4 linked regions of the Drosophila melanogaster genome follow. The protein of the gene in region 2 interacts with the protein of the main gene of each other region in a pairwise test. Each region holds a gene or a part of one and is shown on either strand. Other genes may lie near its edges. The genes, in order: CG13494, Scamp, CG32638 and CG17048.

What was found.
Region 1: the proteins of Scamp (region 2) and CG13494 interact in a two-hybrid assay, tested with the Drosophila melanogaster proteins (one large-scale study listed by BioGRID).
Region 3: the proteins of Scamp (region 2) and CG32638 interact in a two-hybrid assay, tested with the Drosophila melanogaster proteins (one large-scale study listed by BioGRID).
Region 4: the proteins of Scamp (region 2) and CG17048 interact in a two-hybrid assay, tested with the Drosophila melanogaster proteins (one large-scale study listed by BioGRID).

Annotation. Positions count from the first base shown.
Region 1 is NT_033778.4:21,953,686-21,956,827, forward strand, and holds CG13494 (uncharacterized protein), read right to left. Parts: upstream 1,161-3,142; 5' UTR 1,088-1,160; coding exon 725-1,087; 3' UTR 557-724; downstream 1-556. Other genes in the region: CG43405 (uncharacterized protein), read right to left, coding at 1-267.
Region 2 is NC_004354.4:15,445,496-15,451,974, forward strand, and holds Scamp (scamp), read right to left. Parts: upstream 4,389-6,479; 5' UTR 4,273-4,388; coding exon 4,210-4,272; intron 4,014-4,209; coding exon 3,786-4,013; coding exon of another isoform or gene 3,738-3,785; exon of another isoform or gene 3,364-3,737; intron 3,086-3,363; coding exon 2,884-3,085; intron 2,530-2,883; coding exon 2,400-2,529; intron 2,336-2,399; coding exon 1,927-2,335; 3' UTR 684-1,926; downstream 1-683. Other genes in the region: Ahcy (adenosylhomocysteinase), read left to right, coding at 4,896-4,920, 5,172-5,362, 5,900-6,479.
Region 3 is NC_004354.4:13,122,428-13,130,580, forward strand, and holds CG32638 (uncharacterized protein), read right to left. Parts: upstream 6,368-8,153; 5' UTR 5,872-6,367; coding exon 5,824-5,871; intron 3,788-5,823; coding exon 3,641-3,787; intron 1,417-3,640; coding exon 1,347-1,416; intron 1,261-1,346; coding exon 1,046-1,260; 3' UTR 449-1,045; downstream 1-448. Other genes in the region: CG42237 (uncharacterized protein), read left to right, coding at 23-182, 259-421; CG15717 (uncharacterized protein), read left to right, coding at 6,675-6,761, 6,879-7,550.
Region 4 is NT_033778.4:13,353,019-13,356,546, forward strand, and holds CG17048 (uncharacterized protein), read right to left. Parts: upstream 1,482-3,528; 5' UTR 1,316-1,481; coding exon 1,025-1,315; intron 875-1,024; coding exon 791-874; 3' UTR 620-790; downstream 1-619.

The sequences.
Region 1 (3,142 bases), on a different chromosome or scaffold from region 2:
GGGTTCCCTTCCTATAAACTCGTCGCCTCGGCGTCTACAGCGAAAACAGAGAAAGGACTTCATACAACCAAAAAGGACGAGAACACCCATACAAGCACAGCAGGCAGCAATGATAAGAAAAATTACGACGAATATGAACAAAAGTCCCCAAGCACCTAGGTTAGTATCCGGGTGTCCAGTGGTTGTACGGTACGCCACAGTTGTCATGTTAAAGTCTATATATTCAATATCGTATTCAGATAGGGTTGTAGCATCCAACTCGGCCATAGCTTATGGGAAATAAATTGCAAATTTTGTTGCTTTCGATAATAGATTGAACCCTCTAAATGGAAGGAAATATGTATAAGGAAAATCACATTAAATTAACGAATGCTTCTCACCGTTCCTTGCATAGCAGCTTAAGAATTTCGATGACCCTGACCCTTCAGAAATTTTATTTTGGGTATAGATTTTTTTTTAATTTTAAGAGTACAGTCGCAGCTTACTGAAGTCGATATTTTTTTGTACTTTAAATTTGATTTTTGGTTGCCATATATTAAGTTAATAGATATCATTTCAAAATTAAGCTAGATTTTTTTATTTTTTATGAATAGACAACAATTTTGCCAATGAGCATACGGATGCTCCTAACGAATCTGTACCTGAGCACATTAAATTTATAGGCTTTCGAATCGCATATCCTAGCACTACGTACATATTAATAGAAACTTGAATTATCGCCGAATTAATCATCGTCCAAGGTGCAGTCCCCACAGCCGTCGCCACAATCGCCACACCCGCCGCCATCGCCGCAACATCCACCGCCGTCATCGCCGCAACATCCACCGCCGCCGCCTTCACCACAACATCCTTCGTCGCAAGCGAGGCACGCGGAGCAGGCGAGTCCGCAACAGCCGCACAGGCAGAGGAGCGGCAGGCAGATGATGAGCAGGCAGCAGAGGAGCACCATAACAACGATCAGGACAATAATACCGACAGCCATGCTACCCGCCTTGGCGGCCTCTGTAGTGGTGGTGGTGGCGATCGTGGTGCTCCATGAGGATGTTTCCGTCATCCCGCCTTCTACCGTTGATAATGTGTCATCCATGATTAATCACTTGTTGACGGTATTGAAATGTTTAACGTTTAGCTTATTGTAAATTAGAATAAATTACAAAAATTCAGACAGCAAAGTTGAGTGTGTATTCAAAGACTCCTTCAGCACAATTTTCATATGTGCCCACTTTCAATTTAGCATCATATTTGGTTTTAAATATATTCAAGTTCCCCATCTACGAAAGACAAAAGCAAAGAAGCTTATGGGCATAGGTGCATTCGTCACGCTTCCACACGAAGCGACTTCTAACGATCAATCGCACTTAAAATCCTTTCCACAAAAGTACTCATTAAACCCACGAACACACCACCCGTCATACAATGCCCATTCGAATTGTATAATAATTAATGAAATGCATTAACGAAAGCATTTTGCGGGTGGAACTGGGATTGGGTTGGCAGAGAGGGGTGGTCCTCGAACGGGGATCTGGGGAGCTGTCCCTGAGCTCCTGTGTGTACCTGCGCTCGTTAGCGCTCCAAACACCCACTCTGCGAAACACCCCCACTTTAACTCATATGCAAAAAACACACCCTCGCCTCACGCCATCATTATCATAATTTGAATGTGATGCGAGCTTTAAAATATTCATGCGAGTAGAAAGATTTTTTTCAAGTGTGCGCACGTGTGCGCCTGGGTTCGTTATAGGGAGCTGTTTACTGTACCAAGAGGTCGTTGATTATAATGACTGTATTTTGTGCGCTGATTACTCCACAGAGAAAATTAAGAAAATGAGTCAACAACTTAATGCAAAAAACAAAAGGAAGCTCTTCGATAAACAGCGAAATGAATATATATTTTTTCAGATATCTATCTGTTTCGTGCATAATAAATATAAACTGCGTTGGACTTCAACCATAATTAAACACTGAACATTGTGTTAAGTAACTAAAGGTTGATCAAACAACTCCTGATAATATACTCACCGGGAAAGTAAAAATCCACTTCTCGTTCTGAATCACAAATCAGTGATTGCAATTGGGAACTATTAGACACGTTTGTCGGCCAATTGGCGGTGGCAGCATTGAAAGCTCATTCAATTCACTGCCTCACACTGACACCCACACTCAGACATGCATTCACCCACACCTGCAAACTCACTCACACACACACACACATACACACCTTTAACATATAGCATCATGGCACACGTGGCTGCATGTCAAAGTGCAAAGTTTTGTGCCACAAAAAACAAGCTGCGAGGGGTGGCAATGTGGGTAATGGCAGTCAAAAGCGCCGCTTGTCGATGTTTTCTGAAAAAAGAAGGAATGAAATCGTAGGGGAAAGCAGAAAAAAGTTACGTTTTTCACGGCGTTGTTGCTGGCAACCCTTTTAGCTCTGGCAATTTAAACTCGCCCGCTCCAAAGTTGCCCACTTGCCATATCCTGTCGCAGGCGTTGTCCTTGTTGTTGCTGCGGTTGGTGCCTCCGTGTAGTTGCCGCATCCCTCGAACGGCTGAGGATCCTCAGGGGGTTAAGAGCTTTTGGCTGCGGGCTGAGGGGTAACTGCGTGGCATGCAATGCGCGATTGCACAAAGTCAACTTGCACATTAGAATTCGACGAAGGATGAGTTGCAGGGCAACGCGTTGAAAGGCGGAAGGACTAGGCTCATCTGTCTGCGATTCCATCTCGGGGTAAAACTGAATACTAAACAGGCGTCTTCACTACACTAAATATATTTTCAGAAACTATTTAAATCTAAGAAATGGATTTATAGCAAGTTAAGGCTATCTTTCCACTTGAATAGATGCGAATGTAAAGAAAATCATCTTCCGGCAAATATGACTTCCTAGTCGAAAAGTCCCAAATGGTCAGATATCCGTCCCCAATGAAAATCGTACGCAGCTGAATTTATGTGTATTCCCAACCAATCATCATCATCATCAGGAACAAACGCAATGGCAATGATCATGTTCGTATCCTGCCATCATCGCATTCATTGGCACTCAACGGGGGCAGCGAATCGCAATCGTAAACTTGATTGTAATAGTATAATTTTTGGCGTAAAAGCCAAACAAATAAACAAGACAAGCACTTGGATTCCCGGCG
Region 2 (6,479 bases):
CCAAATAAAATTTGCATCTTTCGTTGACAAACATCACACTTATGGGCATACCAAATCCGATTCCATGCCCCAAAATCAATCCGAGATGGCCTTACAAGATGTGGGCGTGTATGTGGGCATCGCTCTAATGCGACGTGGGTGCAGTAACTATGCATTTCCAGGAACATTCACTTTCGACCATGTTCAATCGTCTTAATTACCGACTGGCTTACGTAAACTTTTCTTCTTGCTAATTGATTTTCCATCGAATGAGTTCTCGAAATCAAAGGTCTTCGTGCACTTTTAAATGACATTGTACATTTCCTCTTAATTAAGAGTCGATTATGGCGGTAATCCGAACTATTTGCCAGTCATTTTGTGGGGTTTTCAATTTTATTGGAATTTATTTATACAAAACAAACTCAAGATTAAAATCTATAAGCAAACTGACTAATATAAACACAAGCATTGATGGCAGTTCTATCTATTATATAAATTGTGTAAATACCTCCATGCAGATAACCAGCAGTAATAAACCAAGAATTTAAGCCTGATTATTGCGTTTCAAGGCTGGGATTTGCAGATAAATAATATGAATATCTCAAAAGTCTTTATACCCCTTTAATTACGCACCAAATTATGCATTTGAATTCTCTAGAAATGAGTACCAAACAACCCATAAATTCAAAATCAATGCTTATTGTACATCTATAAGTATTTTATATTTATTTTGGAATTTATCATAAATTTTGCTTGAATTTTAAATACACATCCATAGATCGTCATTAGCTATTCTCAATTCAGTTTTAAATAGGTCGTAACATAATAAGTTTGACTTGCAAGCAAAACAGAAACGAACAAAATGTATCTAAAAAATGTGAATACTTAAGTGAATCAATATATTTTATATGCTGTCTTCATGTACATAGATAATAGATAATATATAACAATTACGATTACAAAAAAACACGACATTTTATGTGAGTGCAGGACAGTGACGGCGGAAAAAGGGGGTCGGGACATGGAACAGGGGGGAGGGAGGAGAGGGGGACAGTGGAGCAGTGGGCGTAGGAGCACAGCTTGGATGAAAAATGAATTTCGCTTTCTTGTTGTCTCTCTGGTCGAGGCGACGAGAGATAAAGTTCTATAATGTAAGCGTTAAATATATTATTTATATTATGTTTGTTATATATATAAGATCGTATATATGTGAGTGTGTGTGTGTGTGTGTGTTGCGTGTGCGAGGGAGTGGGGTTATTCCTATATCGTTTTAATGACTTAAAGAACTAGAAAACATCATCATCAGCAGCAGCAGCAGCAGCATCATCGTCATCAGTGTCATCCCTTTCGCCTGATTAATCTGGGTTAGTATCAGAATCGAATTATTCCACAGGACAGAGACAGACACACAATAATTTAGTCTAGATACTTGTATTTGGAGGCATATATCGTGCGATTAAGATGTCCTGTCTACTTGATCCGCTGCAGCTGCGTGTCGAAGGCATCGTGGGCCGCTTTAGTTTTCCTTTTGTTTTTTTGTTTTCTCCTTTTTGTTTGGTTTTTTTTTCACTTTCAGTTTAGTTCCAAGTTCGGTTTTGTTCCGTTTATAAATATTGTTTATGCATTGTGTGTTGTTTCTGTGTTATCATTACAGTAATTATTTGTAATAAAGACGACGGCATTCTAGGAATTGTTTATGCACAAAAGCAAATAGTTATTAGTTCCATGCTCCAATGCTAGCTTTAGTTTCATGTTTTTCTTTACTTTCATTTCGTGTTAAGCTATTTCAATGTTTATTAAGTGTTCTTTCTCCATCTCCCTCTCTCTGGCGCGGCTATCATCATCTTTTTCTGTCCCAGTTAAGCAGGATGAGTGCTGCTTGAGTTCGTGGTTGATTGATTGATTCTCCTTTTGATTTGATTAGATCCCCGGAAAGCAGAGTGTCACTTAGTACCTGCTGTTGTTAAACTGCGAATTGATGGCCGTATTAACGGCCGAGGAGGCTGCTTCCTGGACGTGCTGGTTGCGCAGAAACTCGGTGGTGAACTCCGCCTGGGCCTTGGCCATACTGGCCCCTGTGCTGCGGTAGATCGAGTGAATCTTTGTGATCATCAGCACATTGGCCACGGCCACCGCTGTGAAACAGAATGCCACGTTCAACAGCAGAATGCCGACGATAATACCCGACGCTTGCCCATCGAACTGCCCGATGGCCGTAATAAAGCCACAGTAGCCCATCTTGTTGAAGCCCACCGCCTGCACAATCGAGTACAGCGTTTGAAAGAAGTAGATGAAGAAGAAGACCATGAAGTTGAAGCTCGAATCGTTGCGGAATGCCTTGTACGCCGGTCGGAACCTGAAAATTAATCACACATCATCACATTATTCATGTTTTAAGAATCTTCCAGGTATAAACTCACCAGCAGACATAGGAGGCGGGCGAGAAGAGCATCGTGTAGAAGATGGCCAGGAAGAAGGTCTCGAATTCGCCAGCGTGGAACAGCAAAATTAGACCGCCTATCACGTTGGCCAACAACGTCATGGTGTAAACTGTCGGAGAAAGTATTCAAAATAGACACATACAATCAGCATAATGCTATAATCTGTAGGGGAAAGCATTATTATATACTATATACTATGCATGCAGTAAATAATGCTAGAAATGCATTTAAAAACTATCTTAATACTGATAACATGTAAATCAAACAAATTTCATGCTCCCCTCTTTGCAAGCATATTCTGCACAAAGGCACGCACACATCCAAGACCATTAGCCATTCAGCTATATCTGATTAATAATGGCATCGGCCTGTAGACGACACGCGATGACTAATTCCACAACCTATGGCACCGCTTATCAGCGAAAACATGTAGAAAACACAGCCATAAAGAACCAATACTCACAAATCCAAATGTAATACAATCGCTTGACCAGTTTCTGGAACTCGGGCGGTATCTCCACCTCGAAGTCCTGGTAGAAGCACGGCTTTACACAAAAGTTATCCGGCAGCGGTGGCCAGTTGTTCAGCTGCGGCACATTGCCCTGTAGCTGCTGCTCGCGGCGGTCCAGTTCGGCGGCCTTGCGGTCCAACTCCTCCTGCCGGCGCTGGATACAATGAAAATCATATGATTATCGACTGTTTTATATATACATTTTGTATGACTTAATAAATTGGCCGTATATGGTAAATACTTTAAATCTTATTCATTTACATATTTGGGAAAACAAAGGCGAAATTCAATGATAGGAATTCACATCCAAATCTTGAGTTTGTTAAACTTCTATCTTAACCTCAGGCATTTGGCCTATCTATAGGAAATATTCTGTACAAGAATAAAGTGCAAACTTAAGCCTCCAAATCATATGTATTTAGATCTACTAACTAGTATTTCTTGAATTATTGTGTAGGGCCGAAGAAGCCAAGTAAATCAAGAGAAACCGCAGTTTGCACAGTGAAGACTCGGCGCGGCAGCCGCTTCTAGTCTCAACCAGATAAATGCTCCAAAGCGGATATATCGTTGGCAGATCGAGATAAGCCCGCTTATCTTTCTGACTCTTGATGGAGAGTAAAATGTGATATGCCTGCCCTAATCCCGGCACTCTAGCAAAGTGATTACTGTACAGACTTTTAGGGCAAACTTTTAGTGTAACTGTGTGGTGTGGTCCATTTCGATTGTTTCCGAGTATTTGGATGTACATATGCGGTTTTTGGAGTATTGCGGATGTGGCCATGCCGGCACAGCACACCGCAGAGTGCTCACTGTTGTGTGGGCGGTAACGCGAGACGACCGGCCAAGTGGGTTACCTGCAGCTCCTCCGAGGTGATCTGTATGCTGGTGCTAGGCGCCGAGGCGCCCAGGGAACTGGTCTGCGGGGGCGGAATGTTCTGCGATAGCGGCTGGACCACCGCCGCCGTGTTCGTTGAGTTGATCTGCAGCTGCGGCTTGGCCTGCTCCTCGAATGGATTGTAATCCTCAAGAGAGACAAGGGCGGCGCCGCTCTGGAGTCGTCGTGCCTGCTGGATGGCGGGGTCCTGCGGGGGAAAACCGGGAAATCCCAATCAGAAACCAATTCATTCAACATATGTGACGAATGCACCCAACACACACACACACTACACTCACAGGCACGCACACCAACACCCCACCTTTGCGTACGTGTGCGTGTGTGTGCGATGGGTTTTTTCTTCGGCTTCCGCGCTCTCTCTCCTAGCTCTTCTATCGCCTCACCGCAAACGGATTGTCCAGATTGGGCTCCCCGAAGGGATTCTCGTCGAGACCGGAGCCGGACATGGGAATTCTACTTTGGATACGGCTGTTCAATGACCAGAAAAACGCACTGACTCGCACTTTGCTTTTCGCTGTGTATATTTTCCCTAAGACTCTGCTCAGTTATCGATGTCGGTTTTAGTGATGGTTCAGCATCGATAAGCTTTCGTTGGGAATCAAAGTGTAGGCCTCAAATATCGAAAGAATTACTTTAAAGAATTAATGTTATTTGAATTACATATTAAATTCATTTTGGCAGAAAAACTTATTATTTAACACATTTAACATTAATCTAGAATTCTGAAAAATGTGAATAACTGGTATACAATGGTCTGATTTTTTAGGACCTATTAATACATTTTATTAAAATGATAGCAAAAAGAAAAGATTCTATATACAATTGGATGTAAACCAGCAGTTATCATATGAATTTTAAATTTAAATGGCAACAATCGTGCCAATCGGAACTGCTCCAGCTGAACCAGCTGCGTGGAACCAGTTCCCATCCCTGGGGCCGCCATTCCGCAATTGGAATTCTAGTGTCTTGGGTTGCGATTCGATTCATTTACCGCTGCCCGCGTCTCCAATTCGGTTGTGTGCGATTCTGTCTGCTCCGCATCCAAGTCAAACATCCAATCCTTGCAAGAATGTCGAAGCCCAGCTACAAAGTCGGTGAGTTGCGTTATAAATAAACCCAAACGGATGGCAAACTCTCGAATCGAATCTCCGGCCGGCAACAGGCGACATGTGCGGGTGAATTGCATCTATTCATGAGCACATGTTTCTGAGGTTAAAAGAGAGACAAAACAGAGGAGAGCACGTTGTTGCTGGGGCAAAAAACGTAGAAATTCAGACCGTATGGTGTATAAATCAACAGTGCCTGCTTATCTGACCCTATCTCCCTTTTATATCCCACTCGACAGCCGATATCAGTCTGGCGGAATGGGGACGCAAGGCGATCATTATTGCGGAGAACGAGATGCCCGGTCTGATGGCCTGCAGGAAGAAGTACGGCCCATCTAAGCCCCTCAAGGGCGCCCGCATCACCGGCTGCCTGCACATGACCGTCCAGACCGCCGTGCTCATCGAGACCCTCGTCGAACTGGGCGCTCAGGTGGGTTCAGTGCCTCTTTGGCGCTCTAAATGATTTTATGCATCGTACCACCATTCGAATTGTATGCCCAACTGTAGGTCTGAACAGTCGGGATAATACACAAAGATAGCATCATTTCAATACTAAAAACCATTTCAAAAACCATAAAACCGACCAAAATTCCGTAAGGAAATTGTAAATTAGGTAGAAAGATAGGTATCTCCAAGCATTGTCCAAGGGCTGGTCCCTTATCACCTTTGGTTTACGCACCAATTTGAATAACAAAACTTTCGTTTAACAGCAGGGGGGCAAGTTCAAGGCGCCCAAGATAAGACCTCCAGATTGTTATTTCCTCTGACGCAGCACCATCTGCTTCAATCCTCGCACATGGCAACTATTTTCTGCCAAATGCTGATGTCCTGAAATACATAGATTTCCTGATATAGATCAATCCTATATGCAATGCAAATCAGTTTGCAAATATCTATATAATTTAGGTTCCTTCCCATCCACATCTCAACTTCAACGCATGAACTACATTTTCATTCTTTTATCCAGGTCCAATGGTCCAGCTGCAACATCTTCAGCACCCAGGATAATGCTGCCGCGGCCATCGCTGCCACCGGCGTGCCCGTGTACGCCTGGAAGGGTGAGACCGATGAGGAGTACATGTGGTGCATCGAGCAGACCTTGGTCTTCCCCGACGGCCAGCCCCTGAACATGATCCTGGACGATGGCGGCGATCTGACCAACCTGGTGCACGAAAAGTTCCCCCAGTATCTGAAAAACATCAAGGGCCTCAGCGAGGAGACGACCACCGGTGTCCACAACCTGTACAAGATGTTCAAGGAGGGTCGTCTTGGCGTACCGGCCATCAATGTCAACGATTCGGTGACCAAGAGCAAGTTTGACAATCTGTATGGCTGCCGCGAGTCGCTGATCGATGGCATCAAGCGGGCCACGGACGTCATGATCGCTGGAAAGGTCTGCTGCGTGGCCGGATACGGTGATGTGGGCAAGGGCTGTGCCCAGGCACTGAAAGGATTCGGTGGTCGGGTGATCGTCACCGAGGTCGATCCCATCAACGCCCTGCAGGCGGCGATGGAGGGCTATGAGGTTACCACCATGGAGGAGGCCA
Region 3 (8,153 bases), 2.3 Mb from region 2:
ATTATAAATTCCATACTCACAGGCACAAAATGGTGTGGCACCGGCGACATTGCAGAGACGTACAGCGATCTGGGCAGCGAAATGGCCATGGATCGATGCTGTCGGCAACACGATCTCTGCCCCATCAAAATCCGAGCCTATCAAAACAAATACGAACTGATGAACGATTCGCTGTACACAAAGTGAGTGCACAAATTGGTTGCAGCAGATAATCTGTTATGCCTGTTATATAATCTAATGCCTTTCCACTCTGCGTAGATCCCACTGCATTTGCGACGACATGCTGTTCTCCTGCCTGAAGATGACCAACACCTCGGCCTCGCAGCTGATGGGCTCCATCTACTTTAATCTGGTGCAGGTGCCGTGTCTGGACGGGCGGAGCAATCATTACAAGTTCCGTGCGGCCAAGGAGGGATTCTGAAGCAGGCGATCGGGGGGTTTTCTTTTTGTACAGGAGGTGGGGACGAGACGAGAGATGGGAGTCGCTCTATTTATTGTTTTACAAACGATGACGCCCGCTTTTTATTTTTCGAATATTCTGTTGGGTTTACAGTTAGCGTTAACGTTATCTAGGATAAGTATATAAAGTAGAATTGCAATCTTTGTTATACAAATACGAATATAAATATATATATATATATATATGTGTGTATCTTTAATATTTTTGATTAGCCGACTTTATTCGTTAACAATGTAAAAAAAAAGGTTTGTGTATATGGGACAAGGAAAACACGCACCTACACGTTTCTTTATGAAATTCCGATGCCGTATTTAACTACAATGCTTAACCTTAATCGTTGTCTCTCTCACAATATTGCACTAACAAAACAACGCTCAAAAAAAAAAAAAAAAAACAACACACGTTATATATATGTATGTATAAAATTTTGTTTCGCATTCAAATATTCTGATTACTTTCGGCAGCGACACTGACTAGTCAAGTCTTTCTACACATGGGTTGTCTTTGCTGTTCCATTGCGGAATCCGCTGTCTATTATCGTAGTGGTGTGTTGTCTAGGTACTTGGAAGGGTTGTCTTGGAGAGCCTAGAAAATGCTGGCCACATTCGGACCGGGCTGCGAATTGGTCGGTGTGGGCTGTGTGGGCCGATCGATGTCCTGATAGCTGCGCTGCTGGCTAGTTGGGAAGACCGATCCCGTCGGCAGTGTGCCGCCCCTCGTATTGAACTCCTTGTAGAGCAGGGCCACGCTCACCGGTCGCAGTATCAGATTGATGATGCTGAACGCAACGGCCCAGCCATCTGAAAATTAATAAGTTATTAGTATCTCATCGTTAAGCATCGATATCGTGTTCAGTGTAACGATAGGAACCGGCTGGATGACTTACTCATAATGCCGAAATGAAGAGAAATGCTGACTATATCAAAAAAAATGCTAGAAGCGTTGATGACGAGCGCCTGCAAAGAGATACGAAATGATATAACATGAGTGTGGGCGGGAAGTGATAGGTTGGGATAAAGGATACGACATACGATATAATCACGATTGAATCGTTAATGCTCAGATTTGTGTGGTTTAACTTAAGAAAAGAAAGCAGCCTTTTAGGCATTTCACGAAAATGTTTGAAAGCTGATTTTGTTGAGTTTAAATATTTTACATATGCTTCGGATGCACGTGTCCAACGCCACACGTGTCCTAATTCTGTTAATAATACGTTGGCCATTTTAAATGGTCAACATATGCTACAATTCAAGCAACCGCAACCGGGAAAATCCTTCACCCACTATGCCCAGCGCACTGCGTAGCACGATTCTTCAGGAAACTCAGCTCCAAGTTGTTGCAAACTACAATTTACATATTCGAAATTAAATAAATTATGTTCATTGATTTTTCTTTTACAGTTTGTCCAGAGTGCTGGCGAAAACGAATGGCATAGCCACTGGCTGGCCAAGGATTTGACATCGAGTTGCGTTCAACTCGGTTGACTAAGAGGCGTTGCTAATGGCTTTCGAGGAAGCAAACAAAACAAGCGCCGCCGGTTGGGAATCCTCGTTAAATGGGCATCGTAATGCCCGATTTATTAAGTACGACTCAAGGGCCTGTGGCCCAAAATGGGAATCGCGTGTAGCAGCTCCTTCAAGGAGTAAAGGTGGTAACTTCTTTGAGTAGATGGGTTGTATATGGATGGGAGTAGGCGGCATTTCGCTGGACGTGGTCACTTTTCGGTCGGTCTAAGGTCAAAGTTGAGCCATTCGCCCTCTTTACTTACGGCTAACTCATCTATAAATACACGCATACCCCCAACTTCACACGCAATTTGCCAAGCAAACCGGACTTTAATGTGGAAATATTTGTACACAATGCATTATAGATATTTGAATATATATGATATTCAATGCTATGATTATAAAAACAAAACTTGATTTCAAATATATAGTCGTAAATATATTGTAACCTTTACTTTAATTGATAAAAACTACATACAAATTATTATGTTATACAAATTTTTCGCTGTGTACATTCGACTTAAGTCCACTTTCATTAGCATACCTCCACGCGTTCAGACTCGGATTTGGTTTCGTTTTGCTTTTAGTATTTTGGCCATGCCACTTGACGGGTTGGACTCACTCGGGGGTGGAACAGAACATTAGAGATTAAAGATCGGGGCCGCGGGGAACCAGTTATGGCTCAGTTAGTCCCATAAGCGAGCAAATTGATTGGCCATAATAGCGCCACAACTTTTGGCATTCGTCGAAAGCAGAACCAGAGTTTTCCCTTCAAAGATATATATCTTTTCTGCCAGCACATATGACGAAGTCCCAATTGTAAATCATTTTGGGAAAGAATAAACCCATTGCTACTTGGATAACCCAAATGTGCTATCTTATCGTCACGAGAAGCGCTTTTTTTCAAGATTTAAGTATATATGCTTGCTTCTCATTCTTAACTTTGTGAGTTGCTAGAATTTTGCGATTCTTTCTCAAATGAAAGTAGTTTTCATGAATAACTTGCATAAATTCATTGAGTGCATCATCATCATACGAATCAATCATTGTTTTTATTGTTTTAATCTTGATTTCCTCGCTGGCACCTGATGTTCGTCGAACTATTTTAGTGAGAACATTTGTTATTTATATTTTGCATGTGTATGCTAATTGCCTACTGGCGATTTTTTTTTTTTGAACAACCGGTTTTGAACGATTTAACAAATTCCGTGGTGATATCGCTGTGAGTCGTCTAGCAGTTGATTAAAGCCTCAGTCAGCAGTGGACTCCAAAGGGAAATGCTATTCGTCTATATTGAATTAATTGGATGAACGCAGTGAACACACTGCACTATAAACATACTTATCTGTATAACAATCCTATCAACAATACTTTAATGACTCACAGAAAGCGATGAATGGAAAGCTATACGTAACTAAAGGCGTGACTACGAATGCAATCGCACTGCTACTTAAGTAAACTATATATGTAAACTATGCTATGAATTATATATCACTTTTTGTAAGCGTTCTTTAAGAAGTCTTAGCTATACTTTGTAAACCAATTTTAATAGATTGCTTGTCACAGTTGTGATACCCTCATTTGCAGGGTATGGCGAGCAAATTAAACGAATTAATTGAAGAGTCTTCTCAATTGGGAATATCAAATCTGGCACTTATCAATCGATCGCACTCACCGTTTGAATCGCTTCGACGGAGTCCTTGCTGTGCATCGACCAGAACATGGCGATCAGGAATAGAAAGTTGTAGAATTCATACGCCCCGTGGCCCCAACTGCCAAGCATGGCATTCGAGATGAAGAAGAAGTGCACAAAGGCCACAAGCTGTAAGATATATGTAATGTAGAAGCAAAGGGGAAAATGAGAAAATGCAAAGGGAGAACTACTACAAACTACATTTGGTTATATATGGTTATATGGTCATATCTGGTTAACACATAAGCATAATCATAAGCGGTTTAGTGCCAAGTGAAGCCCCACGAATCTGGCGGCGAAGTTGCCAATTGTAGTTACTAGCATCGTATCGGTTGTCATTTGCGGTTAACTACTTGGGGTGCTAATCACACAGCGACTGGCCATTAACCCATGGAGGCCCAACAAGTGAGAGTCGTACAGCAGCGTTAACCGCAATAGGTATCTTTTCAGTTTTTTTAAGATAACTTGGCCAAAAATTGTGCAATTTGTACAAATTAAACTGTTTTGAGCAGCTATTTATCATTGCTAACGATTCCCATCACTTTTTGAAGGATTTAGGGAAATTAATTTTTGGGTCAATTTTTTGCATTTTTTGTAAGGGGTAACATCATCAAAATTTGCAAAAAAATCGCGAAAAAATAGAATCCTTATTTTTGAACAAAGTTGGATTGGAAATTAAATTACGAGCTCAACGAGGTATAACATTCCATATTCAGACAATTATTTTAAAAGTTGTGGTAAAAAAAACGGATTATTTATTGACCGAAATTCGAAAAAAACGGGTTTTGCCAAAAAAGTGATTTTACAAACGGAACTTTTCGTCATAACTTCTCTAAAATTTGTCATATAGATAAAAGAATTACCTTTTTGAGCAGCTATTTACCAATACTAACGACGCCAATCATTTTTTGAAGGATTTAGAAAAATTAATTTTTGGGTCAATTTTCGCATTTTTTTGTAAGGGGTAACATCATCAAAATTTGCAAAAAATGGCGAAAAAATAGAATTCTTATATTTGGACACAGTTTAATTGGAAATTTAATTACGAGCTCATTGAGGTATGACATTTCATATTCAGGCAATTAATTTGAAAGTTGTGGCAAAAAAACGGATTTTTTGATCACATAAATTCGGAAAAACAGCTTTTGCCAAAAACGTAATATTTACAAATGGAATTTTTGTCATAAATACGCTAAAAATTGTTATATAGATGAAAAAATAACTGTTTTGAGCAGCAAATTACCAAGGCTAACGTTCCCTATCATTTTCATCGAAGAATTAAGGAAATTTTTGAATACAGTTCGATTTGGTATTTAATAACGAACACAACGAGGCATCTCATTTTATATTTGGACCATTATTTATAATGTTATGGTAAAAAAAACGGATTGTATTATGATAGAAATAACAATATTTATTCTTGGACAGAAAACTGCACAATTGGAAAATGTTTTTAGTGAAACGATGTAATTAGTTTATAAGGTTTTCCCGTAAGCTGTAAATTTCGCTCAAGCAGTTTTATTTCGCCCACACAAGTTGCATTAGTCCAGCTGTACATACAATGTCATTTATGTGTATTTTTTACTTATACATATAACGATGGCATTAATTTACTTATTTTCGTTCTACAACAAGTAATTTATATTTGCCGATATATGTATGTATATGTAGCTATATCCACTTTGAATGCAAAATAAGCATCCAAACACATGTAAGTAAATTTCCAAAAAAAGTTTTTATCTACTTTTCATGGCTTTTATTCCTTAAAAAACAAACACGTATGTTTCATACGCCCAGTTTAATTTTTTGACCGCTTCCGTAAAATTCTTTATCTGTTTCTTCTGTTTATGTGTGCCACCCAGCCAGTTGAACCGCCCTGCTGTTAATATTTTGACCGCAGCTGTACCATATGTTATCTATTTACCCTGTTTATTCTTTCCCCTAATTTAAATGAGACTTTTTCATTTATTCAGAATTTTTATCTGTTTCTTTGTTTTTTTTTTTTTGTCATGAGTTATGAGTTTTCCTAGTCGCCCATTGCTATTTTTATGGCTGCAATTGTTTGTTGGATAAGATGAGGGGGGTGAGTGCAGTGCACTGCTTGCTGGCCAGTGCAGTGCAATAGCGGCATCTCGTCTCCCGCATCGCATGCACTGCTTGCTTACCTTCACACGCACAAAAGGGGATCCCATCAGCTCGTTGAGGTCGGTCATGATGATGTCGCTCTCCTGCTCCTTCTCGCTCGCACTCAAATGCAGTTATTGCAGCGGCTACCGCTCTCTCACTCCCACTCCTGCTGCTGCCACACGCGGCGCAGACAACAACAACAATAAAACACAAAAAAAAATGAGTCGCACAGCTGTTTTGTTATTTTCGTGTGCAACAATTTGCTGAAATCGTTCCACTTTGCGTCTATTTTCACTTGCAATTCACTTTCAATTGGTGCTAAAAGCGCAATAGCTTCACTGTATGAGTGTATCTGTGTGCGTCTGTGCGTGTGTGTGTGTGTGCGCGCACTTGTTGGTCTTCTTTCGTTCTCCAAATGTTCTTGTTGTTGCTGCTGCAATATTTGGCAATCGCTGTTGTTGTTGCTGCCTTTGCACGGGGGCGTCAACAATGAACGGCGAATAACGAGTGATGTCAACAACTATTAGCTAGCCGGGGGCAAAAGTGTTATTTTCTTTTATACGCTGGAAGGCGTCAGCGCAGCAACACGACCAATTGCAATTTAAATTAAAATTGTGATGTGTGGGCCAATGTGACCGGTCGCTGTTCCGCTTATACATGCCAGTTATTATTTCGGTGTGACCGTAGCTATAAAATGCGACAGGCCGTGTTAAATACTGAATAATACCAATAACTGGTATTTTAGTTTATCAGCGATCTTCCTTCTCTGCATGTGAATGTGTGTGTGCGTGTGTGTCTGTTTATGTGCGTGTGTGTATGTTTGCGTGAGCCGCTGATAACGCAGCTGATCGGGCGATTCCATTGAATTCAAGTTTTCAATTCGCAGAGCATGGCCAGCAACTTCACCCAGTCCCAGCCGTCCAGGATCACCAGCTACATGGTCAACCAGCTGCAGCCGACGGCGCAGGAAACGAAGGTCAGTCAGACAATATCGGACATAACCTTGATCTCCTTGGCACACGGATTGTGTCTCAGTGAGATTATCGGAGCACCTACATACATATGTTAAATTCAAAAATGTATCTACTTGCAGTTGGCGCTGATTCCCAGTGCACCCCAGTGGCGCTCCCCCCAGCTGATGGTCGTCTTCGAGGACGGTGATCTGCACTCAGCGCGCCACCAGTTGCTCCAGTCCCTGCAGAATCCCTTTGCCGAGGGATCGGTGGCCACGTTGCTACTCCAGGAGAGCATTGCCGATCAGTTTGTGGGCCTAGTGGCGCAGGATTTGCGTCCGTTGTCGCAGGAGGTGTCCAAGCATCCGAGCTACACCAGCACGCTGGCCAAGATCGAAGAGCTGAAGGCCAAGACAGTACAAGGCGAAAGCCTTAAGGCTGGGGAATCACCCGTCTTGGTGTACGACTGCGTGCACAGCTATCTGGGCAATGGAGCGACGGGAGTGGTGACGGTGCACACATTCCGCACAGCCAAGGAGGCCGGCCAGTTGGCCAAAAGGGATCCCCTACCTTACGGCCAAGTTAGTCTGTGGAATGAGAAGCTGGGCTGCGCCTACGAACTGATACCACGACTACCGAGCGATATTGTGGCCATTAATTGCTTCAATCCGGACTTGGATCCCATCTGGGAATCCTTTGCTGCCGACCGCAACGATGTTCTGCTGGCCAAGAACTATCACTATGAATCGCTGGTGGTGAGCGGCAAACGGAGGATCGTCGTCTTTCCCGTGGGCACCATCTTCGGCAACTGAAGAGTGACAGTTCTGGACTTCGACGGCGACGAATCACATCCGGAAGGAATTACATCCAGGTGCTTTTTAAGCCATACTTTAAAATACCTCTCTAAGCATTTTACATGTAGCTTGGGGCATCCTTTTCGACAGTTCAATTGGAATTATATCGAACTAAATTAGGAGTTATGTCAAACAACTAGCATTTAATGTGGCTTAACTTAGAAATTATCTGATTTTGCAACCATCATAATATTCCAATTGTATTGCGAAAAGGTCCTTGAGTCTGAATTGTTTTTTTGATACTCTGTCAATAATTGTCCACTGAAAAATCATCAGCCAACTTTTATGCATCTGTGGGAATTTGGGGTAGGTCCACGAATCTCTGCATGCAACAGGCATTTTTTCAGGACATGCGCAAGTGCTGCTCCAGAAATAGAAATCCTGCAAAGCAGTTTAAATGGAAGCAGTTGAAGGGCACACTCATACACTTGGGGCCAAAATAATAGCGCTCATTTTAGTAAACTTAACATACTATGAAGTAAATGAACCATTTAACTGATAAACTGGTAATGATTTCAATGAAAATTTTTAAAAGAACATTTTGTTTTGTGCGAGCTACGC
Region 4 (3,528 bases), on a different chromosome or scaffold from region 2:
AGTAATAAACATATTGTAAAATTATTGCTAGATATTTAAGATTTCTTTAAAGAATTTATAAACTTAAATCTTTGCACAGAAATCTCATTTAAACACTCCAAAGTATCCAATAACATTTGTCACACAAGAATATTTCAACTTAAAATAGTTTCAATTAAATACAAAAACCAAGTGACAAGCTGCAGACCGCAAAGGGTATCAACTGATCCATGTGTTGGCCAATAAACATTTAATATTCACATTTTCCAATATTTACTTGTTGGTCATTTTAAAGTGCAACAATATTTGTATAATATAAACAACTTTTTTGCGAGCTACATTTTGATTTACAGCATCAAAATAAACACAAATAAGGGCCCACAAAATATTGGTATTCGTGGATATCGAGATATATTGGTATATGTATGGCAAAGGGCTGATTCAGCATCGATTTATTTTCCTTTCGGTGCAATATGCATGCGTGGCAGCACTTTTTGTGCAAGCAGCCAAATCAGTTTATTGGCGCATAAAATTGAATTAAAACGTGGCTAAAATGGGGGCATGGCGACCACAGGGCGTATGAGCAATCGTGATACCAGCAACTTGGGCTTCCACCATTCAAGCAGCTTTTCTAAGAAAACGCTTATCTATCTTGTTGGCTAAAAACTCATTAAGGTGGTCAAAGGACAAAGGACGAGCCAGAACAAAGCACATTCCAGTCGCATTTTATGTCTTTTTCGTTTAATTAAAATCCACTGACAAGTTTGCATAGATCTATCTTAATACAAATATACATATTTCGTAAACGAATTCACCAGTAAAGCAACAGCAAATAAAAGGGGCCCAGACTGAGCACCATCAGCGGTACCATCATAATACCAAATAGACGCCAGTTCTGGAGGAGATCAAGGGATTAGGATAGGTACTTTCTTGTCATTGGACACATCTTTTAACGTTTAAGTTTAAGTGTAATGCTTTCACATCCGCCACTACTAATTAGTAGTCACTTGATAGTGCTACGAAAAGTTACCCATGGAGCACTTACATCGTGGAACTGCCTGGACACCTGGCCATCCATGTCCAGGCTGCTCCGACAGATTGGGCAACGCTTGGCCACCCAGTTGCGAGCTTCCCTGTACAGTGCTAAACAGCTTTTGCAGAACGCATGATTGCAGTGCAGCTTCTCTGGATTCTGTATGCGATCCAGGCAAAAGGCACACATATCCGGCTGATCCCCATCCTTAATCGTATCGAACAACGATGGATGATCGCCGTTCTCACTGGAGTAGTCGCTCCGCAGACCAAAGTTCGTCGCATCGAGGCCCTGCTGTACCATTATGCCCGTTCGATTCTCTATGTCTAGTCTTCTAAATGTTATGTCTTTCAATGTATTGTATATGTGGCGATCGTGTAATAGTGTCTTCGTGTCTGGGTATTTTGTTTTCAATTTATTTATGTGATTTCAGTTGGGTGGTTATTTTTGTAGAACTAAAAATTTAGATAACACCCCCATGCCGGAAAAAGGGATTGACAGGTGGGGCAAAGCGGGCGCCGCCACGATTAAACTTTAATTAAAATGAACGACGATAAATCTGACCGGAAAACACCTTAAGCTTCTTCGCCGGCCAATAAAATTTAATTATATCAACGCCGAGCGCCAGGCATCGAATGCAATTAGTAGTCGACTTGTACAACTCAATTAGAAGAGAGTCTGGCCGGGATGGGATGAGATGGCATGGTATGGGCTTGGATTGGATGGCATGGGATGGCATGAGCTGAAGTGGAAGCCATGTGTCGCGTGGCTCGGCTCATCCTTTGGCTGATTTTTACGGAGGACAACGCTTTGCACTTTGGGGCAAACGACCGCAGACGCAGACGACAAAAATCGAACTTTGCAACTACTTGCAAGGAGCGAGGAAGCTAAATGACAAGACGCCGGCGATTACTCCAACAGGGTTTTTAATTAAGCCCGGCACTAAAAGTCACATCAGTCGAGGACAAGAAACCCATCCCTCGCAGGACGAAGGACGTCCCAACAAGCAGCTGACAAATTGAATCACTGGCGTCAGTTGCTCTGCAATTTAACAGTCGGTAACAAGCACATATTATTAACGCCGGCCAATTAGGTGGCCATATAAACCAACTATCCGGCATTTGCATCCTCAACTTGATTAAAAAGTTGCCAGTTCCAGTTGCCAGTCGCCATTGAAGCCAACTTGATTGTTTATTGTTCGGTGGGGAAAAGTTTTGCTCGGCAAATTGTTAAATTCTCAACTCGAATTAATTTGCCAGAGTTTCTTTAATTATGTTTATAGATGCCCGAGCAATTGTTAAGACACATCTACAGACCAGCCCCACCCACTTGCCAACTTTCCCCATTTCCTGATGCTCCACTTCTGCGAGCAGGTACTCAAATCCATACAGTCAGTCGGAAAAGTCAGAAAAGCCGGAAAATGCGGAAAAGTCGGGAAAGACGCCCAAAGACAAACGGCATCAATCTGGAAAACTTAGCAATGAGGCGGGCTCTGAACTTTATCTTTAGATTCGTTTTGTTATTATTTGCCTAAAGAATTAAAAGGAAATCAAGGCAAATGTTGGTGGAAGCAACGTAAGAACTAAGAGAACTTTTAAAATAAATACTACATGAAAAATGTGAAGAAAATTTGTCAATAAGAAATCGGCCATAAAAGATCCAACAGTATTGATAGAATCAAAATTGTGTTCTTTTGAATGAAACTTATATAAATAAGCAAAGCAATTTAAGTTTCTAAAATATTTACAACCCATGAATATTAATGGCAACTACGATTCGAACTGAAACTTAAATGGAAGCAAACCAAAGCCACTTAAACAACAGATCCTAATAGGTCCAAGTTGTAGTAATAAAGTAGAATAACCATAAAACCAAATATACTCAGAGCAATTCTCGCACAGTCATTCCTGAGAACGGCAACTTAATTAGAGCTGTATAGAAATCTGACAAGTCTTCGTTCTGATTTAATACTTGCAAAACTGTTCGCTTTTTTGTTCCTTCTATTTTCGGGTAAATCCTTTGGGCAATAGTACCCCCGAGTTTCCGCTAGATGACGCTGCACTCGTTGCCATTGCTACTCTCGCTAATGAGCTTTGTTACCGGAAACGCGGACCGACAGCGAAACACAGCAGAGCAGAGCTCATTTATGCTAAGCTTTTTGTGCATTTAGACCGCAAAACAAGGACACCGACCGACAAACAACTGTATCTATGGCTTAATGGGTTAACGTGACACCGAATGAATCATGGAGTCGAGCTGGGGCCCAACTGGCATTAGTGGGTTAATGTTTTAGCTGCAGAACGGGAACGGAAACGAAACGGAAGCGGAAACGGATGTTGCCTGTCCAGATTTCCGCCTCGAGGCGATTTCTCTGGCAATATTCTCTAATTTAATGAGAGCCTGCTTATTTTGCAATTAGCCAAAGTTGTGCACCTTGTGCCTTGCCTACGATTGCCTGAAACGAAATGTAGCTGCGACTAATTAGCAGAAATGTCTAGTAAATTGTAGTGAATTAT